Canis lupus familiaris: one gene and its partner. The main gene of each other region encodes a partner of the protein of the gene in region 2 in a complex. Links are inferred from orthologs where the notes say so. Each region holds a gene or a part of one and is shown on either strand. Other genes may lie near its edges. The genes, in order: LAMP1 and AP3M1.

Region 1 (3,919 bases), on a different chromosome or scaffold from region 2:
GGTCCTGCTCCAAGCACTTTGTAGTTAACTAAATTATCATGACGACCTCCACAGGTCAATGCTATTATGATTCCTTTGTGCAGCTGTGGAGACGAAGGGACGGACAGGAATGTTAACTTGCTCAAGGTCACAAAGCCAGTGAGTGGTGCTGAGCAATCTGGGATTGGATGACACATCTGAACCGTGCTTTCTAACACTTGCTGAGTGAGCAAACATACTTCGAATTATGAAAGACTCACTTTGAAATGAAGAGACTGCCATCTAAAGGAACGAGTCGATAAACTTCTACATTAAAATTTTTATAAGAGGGGGCTCCTGGGTGGCTCAGTCTGCCTTTGGCTCAGGTCATGATTCCAGGGTCCTGGGATCAAGTCCTGCATTGGATTCCCTGCTTGGTGTGGAGTCTGCTTCTTCCTCTCCCTCTGCTCCTTCACCTTGCTCGTGTATGCTCTCTCTCAAATAAATGAATAAAATCTTCAAAGAATTTTTTTTTTCAAAAATACTTCCTAGTTTGTCTTGGCTTCTTTTAAATCCAGTATTTTTCATCTTAAACGGTAATACATAATCATCTACGAAAATTTAAAGGTAGAAGAACAACAAAAAAAGACCAAAGTTCATCCCTCACATGGAAACACAACCTTTAGAAGCAGGGCTCAGTGTGGACACTTTTAAGGAGCTGATGTATGCATATCTGATTAGGGATTGTTGCTGTCAAACTGGGCATTTACATGTACACACTGAGCACTTACTATGTATGTGCACAGGATGGGCTGTAAGATAAGGGAGGGAGACCTGTGTACAGGTTATCACGGCACAACTGAAATGATGCTCCAGTAAAAGCTCAAGCCACATATGCATGCAGTCAAGTCCCATGGATGCAGAGAAAAGGGAGCGCCTAACAACAGAAGTTCAAAATCTTGGACCCCAAATGTTTTGACCTCAAATATAGTTAAGAATTTGGGGACCAATCCAAGTAACTGACAAAGGTCCCGCAATCATGAATAATACTAAACAGAATAAAACTTTCCAAACATCCTAAGTGACAGTTCTTCATTTGGAAAGGGGAAGGAAATCATCTAGTCGACACCAGTGGTTTAAAGGGTCACATTACGCAATGACACTTAATCCTAAAGGCTGGCCAATTTCAGTTCACTCTCGCCTATGCTTTCTACCAAATAGTCCAACACAAACTAAGCTTTGAGAGTTAGCCAATTATTAATGCAGGTAAGATTAATAGTTTTCATGTTCGAAAAAATTTGTTTTTAGGAAAGATGCTTCTTGGTAAAATAAAGAATCAAAATAAACATTATTTTTAAAAGGCCTACATCCAAAAAAAAATTTTTTTTAAAGATTTTATTTATTCATGAGACACACACAGAGAGAGAGGCAGAGACACACAGGCAGAGGGAGAAGCAGGCTCCATCCCGGGTCTCCAGCATCATGCCCTGGGCCAAAGGCAGGCGCCAAACCGCTGCGCCCCCGGGGCTGCTCCCTACACCCAAATTTAAAATCTTTTCTAAAAGCTGGATTTCATCGGACTGTAAAACCTAAAAAATCCTCCCAAAGAAACGGGCATCAAAAAGCTTCCAACACGCACACTACTCCCAGCTATCACGATGCAGGAAATGAGGCCCGTTACTCCTCATTCTGAAGGCGAGTCTTAAAACCTAACCTACGAGGATCCTTTGCGAATTCTAGTGCGGACAGTGCTGCCGTCCCGACCTGACACTTGCTCGAGCCGTTGCTCCTCTAAACCATTACAGCCGCCGGGGAAGGGCAAAGCTCGGGGTTGACTGCCCGAGTTAAGGTCCCCGTCCCTCGTGGCTCCTCACGCGGTTCAAAAAGCTGACCTTACACGGGCAGGGGCAAGACAAAACCGTGGCACCCGAACCCACCCAGCGACCGGGAAACGCCGGAGCCGAGAGGCCGGGGCCGGGCGGGGATGCGCGGCGATGCGAATCCGCGCCCCTGCCTCGGGGGAGCGCCCCCCGCGCGGGGCGTCCGGGCGTCCGAGCATCCGAGCATCCGCGCAGGCCACCCGGGAGGGCGCACGCACCACGCGGCCCGAGACTGAGCCACGGCTGCCCCGAAATCCACCAACCACTGATTTTCCGACTCATCACCCAGAAGCCGGCCCAGGGGCCCGACCACGGAAGCGGCCCCCGGCTGACAGCTCGCCCCGGCGCTTCCAGCAGGGCCCGAGGGCTCCGCGCCAGACCCCGGGCGCCACCTCTGCCGCCCCGGCCCCGGCCCCGGCCCCGGCCCCGCCGCCCCGGAGCTCCCGCCCCGCCGACCCCGGCCCCTCACCGAGCAGCAGCAGGAGCAGAGGCCGCGGCCGGGCACCACCGAAGGCCGCCATGGGCGCGAGGGCTGTCGAGGCCGGAGCGGGAGCCGAGCGCGTCGGGGCGGTTTGACCGGGGGACGGCGGGCGGGCGGGCGGGCGGGCCGGGGGCTGCGTGAGGGCGAGCGTCCCGCGGTCCAGACACCCGGCCGCTGCGGCACCCGCGGCAGGAAGGAGAGCCTTCGGCCGGCGGCGCCCGTCACGTGAGGCCGCGCCGCGCCCGCGCTGTCACGTGACCCCGCGAGCCTCGCGAGAGCACAGGGCACGACGTCTCCGCCGAGGCGAGCGCTCGCCTCTCACGTGACCCGGAGGCACGTGACCGCGGGGCCACGTGACGCCGGGCGGGCTTCTCAGCCTGGGAGGGGGCGGGGAGATTGGACCTGGACGTCGGCGCGGGAGGCGGGTGCGAGGGAGGGTCCCTCGGCGGCTCCCGGGCGTTGGCGGGAGGAGGAGACGGGCGCGCCGAGGCCTGCAGCCGGAGAAGCCGCCCCGGGGACGCAGCGAGGCCCACCTGGGGCCGCCCTGGGCGGCCGACCCGCGGCGAGTGTGGCTGCGGCTGCGAGGGGGCGGCCCGGACCCGGACGTGCGTGCTCGCGAGATAAGCTGGGCGGGGCCCCGGGGGCTGCGGTGACCGGGGCGGGCCGGGGCGGGGCGGGCCGGGGGGCAGCAGTGGCTCCGGGGCCCCGAAGCCCTCTCCGCGCGCGGCGTGCCTGGAGGCTCCCCGGGTCTGGGCTTCCGACACGGTCCCCGGCCTCGGCCACCTCCAGCCGTGGCAGCCGCGAGGGTCACGGCGCCCCTCCTTCCTCCCCCCTTCCCCTTTTCCTCTTCCCCGTCTTCCTCCCTCCTGCTCTTGTCCGCGCGTCGCGGCTCGGCCCCTGGGAGGTGTCTCTGGTTGTGTCCAGCGCAGACCTGGGGGCCGCTGTCCGCCACTCTCCCGATCGGTGCTCGATTCCCCGCAAGTGTCACGTCCACTTGCTCCGAGTACACGGTGCGGCTTCCCGGCCGCAGACTCCTGCTGGCTCTGCAGTGGGGGCGGGCAGGGCCGGTGCTAGAGCTCGGTTCTCTTTCCCCATGTCCGCGGGGCTGGCTGGCAGCGAGCAGCCCCTAAACTCCTTGTGCGTGTATTGCTGTTGTGCAAATAGTAGTAATTCGCAGGTTTCTCCCCGTGAAGAAAGAAGTGACAAAGGAGAAGAGGGAGGTGAGAATGCGGCCTGTGATGCTGGGACTGGAATGTGCTTCAGGACTCCGAAGGCGGACAGTCACGGAAATAATGGGCGGTACACACGGTGTCGGTGCTCAGGGCACCTTACAGTTCCTGCCCCGTGACCCAGCGGCCGTCCAGGGCGTCCCATTTCCTTTGCCCGTTTATCACACAGGCCCGGGCGTTTGCTTCTATTTCTGTTTCAGTGCAGTTGCCCGTCGTGTCGCCTTTGCCCGAGGACTGGCTGGCGGTCGCCGGCCTGGGGAGGTTTGCCAGCGCAGGGCCTGCCAGGACGCGGGGCGCTCCGTGTGCACTCGGGGTCACAGCTGGGTCCGTGCCACCTCCCGACTGGCATCTGCTATGTGGGGACAAGACTT
Region 2 (3,819 bases):
TTTCATTCTCTATTTTAGTAACTATAAAATACATGTTTATTTTAGAAATTAGAAAGTATTAAGCAAAAATAAAGATAGTATGTTGTTCCTTAGTTGGAGACGGTCATTGAAAATATTTTAGAACTTTTTTGTCTGTAGGAATGTTTGTGTAATTAACAGAAACTTTTATAGTTTTATGTTGGTATTTTTTCCATTTAGTATTATATCATGTGTACTTTCCAATGTCACTGTATTGTTTATAAAGTATGGAGTTGCCTTTTACAATGTTATATTATTATTTACATACTTTAATTTTTTTCTAATCTCCCATCCAGAGTCTAAGTTTTAGGTGCATACATTCTATCTTATCTTTCCTTGAATTTCTCCTAATGCTCAGCTTTGTACAGAAGATGAATAAAGGCCTCTTATAGGCCTCTCTTGTCCCATTTTTTTAGGTCAGTACACTTAGAGCGGGGTTTACAATGGTAGACAGCAGAGCTGGTGTGTTATGTAACATTTCACAGAAATCTTTCTCTAGAAGACTTCAACACTCTCAAAAAATACTGTCATCTGGATGTACCTAATTTCTAGCTATATTCAAGAAATAAAAATTACAAACTTATAACATGGAGCACCTGGGTGGCTCAGTGGTTGAGCATCTGCCTTTGGTTCAGGTCATGATCCCAGGGTCCTGGGATGGAGCCCTGCATCAGGCTCCCTGCTTCTCCCTCTGCCTCTCTGTGTCATTCATGAGTAAATAAATAAACATCTTTAGAAAAAAAAAGAAGCTTAAAACAAAGTACAAGGTCACAATGCATGAGATCTCACTGACAGACTAATTTCCCATCTTTTTGTTTTAATAAATCTTCTGCATGTATAAAACAAAGACTTGGAGGAAATAATATGTACTCTGTGGTGGAGAGTCTTAAATTTTCTATATCCTAGTAATTTGGGGGTAACGACATAATGCTAGTTTTATAATGCTATTTATAATTTTAATTTTTCTCCCAGTTTTATTGAGATATAATTGACATTTAACATCGTGTTAAGTTTAAGCTATACAACATGATGATTTGATACACTTATATACTACAATTATAACCCACTATATTGTTAGTTAACATCTTCATCACATCATATACAATAATGCTAATTTAAATATTAAAATGCCAGTCTATAAATAGATTAAGTGTTCTAAGTAGCTTCACATATAGGCTTTCCTTTTATAGCCTCACTATATTGGCTTCTCTAGGATTAACTGGGAAAATTTAATCAGTCTTATTATTTAGTGTTAAGTAATAGTAACAATGTTATTGTGGTCTTATAGAAAAGCCTATAATAAAAGAGTAATTATCAAGTTTTCTTTATCATTTAAGACCTAGTCTCCTCATGAAAAGAAATACACATTCATTTCAACAATACTACTAACTTTAACTCTGGCCAAACTGAACTACCTTAATTATTTGCCAGATCAGGCAACAAGGAGTTGTTTATAAAGTGTTAATTGCTTAGTTCCTAAGGCAGCACATTTTCACCTTACCTGTAATAGAGTTGACGACAGAACGTAGAATTGTTGGTGGTTTAATCAGTTCTTTCAAAATATTAGATTCAGTAGCCAGTGGAAATCCATTGTCTAACATTTCTTCCAAGAGCTCATATACAATGACCACATTATCCTTAATTGCAGCTTCCGAACATTCACCAAAGTAGTCCTTAACAAAATGTACATAATATTGTACAATGGAAGGCATGGAGAAAGGCTTGCTAAACATTCTTTGTTTAGAAGGATAAACTTACAGTAGCATAATTAATTGTTTAAGATGTTGAAATATGTAAATTAGAAAAAAAGCCTCTATAGTTCTATACGCTATTTCTCAATATCTTCAGATTGAATTGAATTTCCATTACATTGAAACATTAAACTAGGATGTGAACTATTAATTTACTCTGATTGGGTACCCCTAAAACATAGATAAGTTTTCAATTATTTGGTACATTTAGCAAGATAATAAAATGTAAATATTAAGACGATTACATAACCAATAAAAATCTTGGGGCCATTCAGAGAACTGTATGTGGAGGGCATTACTGTTTCCTGATGACACAATTTGTAATACATATAAAAAATATGGCTTCCATGACCATGAGATTACGGTGTTCTACTGAAATAGTGAATGGAACAGCCATGTATACTGCTATACACCCTACAAAGAAAGGGTTTATGAATTTATTCTTAGTTGAAAAGAAGAAACAGGATACATCCAAAGCTGATTACTTAGAGAATATAATCATTTATCTCACCCCCAACTAACTTTAACTTAAATTCAAAAGATTTGATGAGTAACCAACCTGAAAAGTGTCAGCAACTCGATGTAGGAACTCAATTACAAAGAGAGGTGGCACTTCAGTCTGTATGACAGACACAAAGAAGAGCTTATCCCTGTAGATACTGATGAGGTAGTGATGAGGTGTTGAAATGACAGGTGGTACATTTTCAACATCAGCAGCTTTCTCTTGAGCTTCAAAGAAATAATCACAGACAGACTGGCTCACAACGCTCTTCCAGTGCTTCTCTAGAAATATGTCACCGGAACAGTTTATGAGAAATAGACTGTGGATCATTTTCTAGGGGGGGGAAAAAGTTTAAATTTAGTGTACATCAAAAAGTATCCTTGTACTATTCTGATACCCAAACCAGACAAAGGCAATACAAGAAACTATAGACCAGCATCATGTAAGAATAGTTATAAAAATCCTTGACAAAATACCAACAAACTAAATCCAGCAACATATACAGATTACACACCTTGACAAATGGGATTTATTCCAAGAATGGAAGACTGGTTCAACATATGAAAATCAATCAACGTAACACACAGTATACATAAAAGACAAAACATATAATCATTTCAAAATGTGTAGGAAAATCATTTGATAAAGTCTAGCACTTGCTTATAATAAAATGACTTAAACTAGAAAAAGAAACACTTTAAAATGGTGGGTTTTATAATACGTGAATTATATTTCACTTACAAAATATTCTTACTATGACACACAAATCTACTTCCAGGTGGATTAAACATAAATGTGTAAAAATGTGCACCAAAAACACACATAAAAATGTAATGTTGTAGTGAAAACCTGGAACAACTCAAATATTTATTAATAGTACTATGGAAAAATAAACTATAGTATATTATTAAAATGAAACATTATATAGCAATGAAAACAAATAACCTATTGTTAAATTAAGCAAATACGGATGAATCTTACAAATACAATATTGAACAAACAAGCCAGATGCAAAAGGATACATAAGTATGATTCTATTTATATGTGGTGCTAGAACAGACAAAATTAATCTATGATTTAAGAAATCAAATGCCATCTTTTATGGAGGAGAGAGGGAGGCAGTGACTAAGAAGGGATGGGGGATATTTCCTAAGGTGCTTATAAAGTTTAATTTCTTGATCTAGATGATAGTTATAAGTTATATTCATTTTGATAATTCATTGGGTTTTATATTGTGACATACAATTTTCTGAGTATAACTTTATGTCAAATAAAAACTTTATTATCCTTGCAAATGGGGGATAGTAGAAAAATATCTAATAACCTTAATGTGTTCATTTCTTTTATGTAGATAACATCACTTATCAGGTGTTTAGTCCCGTGGTCCACTAATTCGAAATTATAGTATTGTATAAGTGTACTCCAACTGTAAAAAATTTAAAACGAATAGTTTCTCTGCATGAAGATAAATTACAAAGAGGAAAGGAAGACTTTCCAGAATGCATTCATTCAATTCCATTGTCACAGAAGACAATGACACCAACCTAA

Evidence for each region.
Region 1: the proteins of AP3M1 (region 2) and LAMP1 are in contact, whole or in part, in a cryo-EM structure (PDB 9C5A), measured with the Homo sapiens proteins. The link is inferred for Canis lupus familiaris from reciprocal best matches to the Homo sapiens genes AP3M1 and LAMP1. Residues at the interface, in NP_001307192.1 of Homo sapiens: Glu178, Tyr180, Phe181, Asp182, Gln381, Val389, Asn390, Arg391, Leu392, Phe402, Lys403, Gly404, Val405, Lys406; in NP_005552.3 of Homo sapiens: Ser410, His411, Gly413, Tyr414, Gln415, Thr416, Ile417.

Annotation. Positions count from the first base shown.
Region 1 is NC_049243.1:60,834,112-60,838,030, reverse strand, and holds the start of LAMP1 (lysosome-associated membrane glycoprotein 1), read right to left. Parts: upstream 2,560-3,919; 5' UTR 2,360-2,559; coding exon 2,308-2,359; intron 1,963-2,307; exon of another isoform or gene 1,851-1,962; intron 1-1,850. UniProt on the Homo sapiens protein: Lysosomal membrane glycoprotein which plays an important role in lysosome biogenesis, lysosomal pH regulation, autophagy and cholesterol homeostasis.
Region 2 is NC_049225.1:25,262,287-25,266,105, forward strand, and holds part of AP3M1 (AP-3 complex subunit mu-1), read right to left. Parts: intron 2,605-3,819; 5' UTR 2,602-2,604; coding exon 2,329-2,601; intron 1,692-2,328; coding exon 1,520-1,691; intron 1-1,519. UniProt on the Homo sapiens protein: Part of the AP-3 complex, an adaptor-related complex which is not clathrin-associated. The complex is associated with the Golgi region as well as more peripheral structures.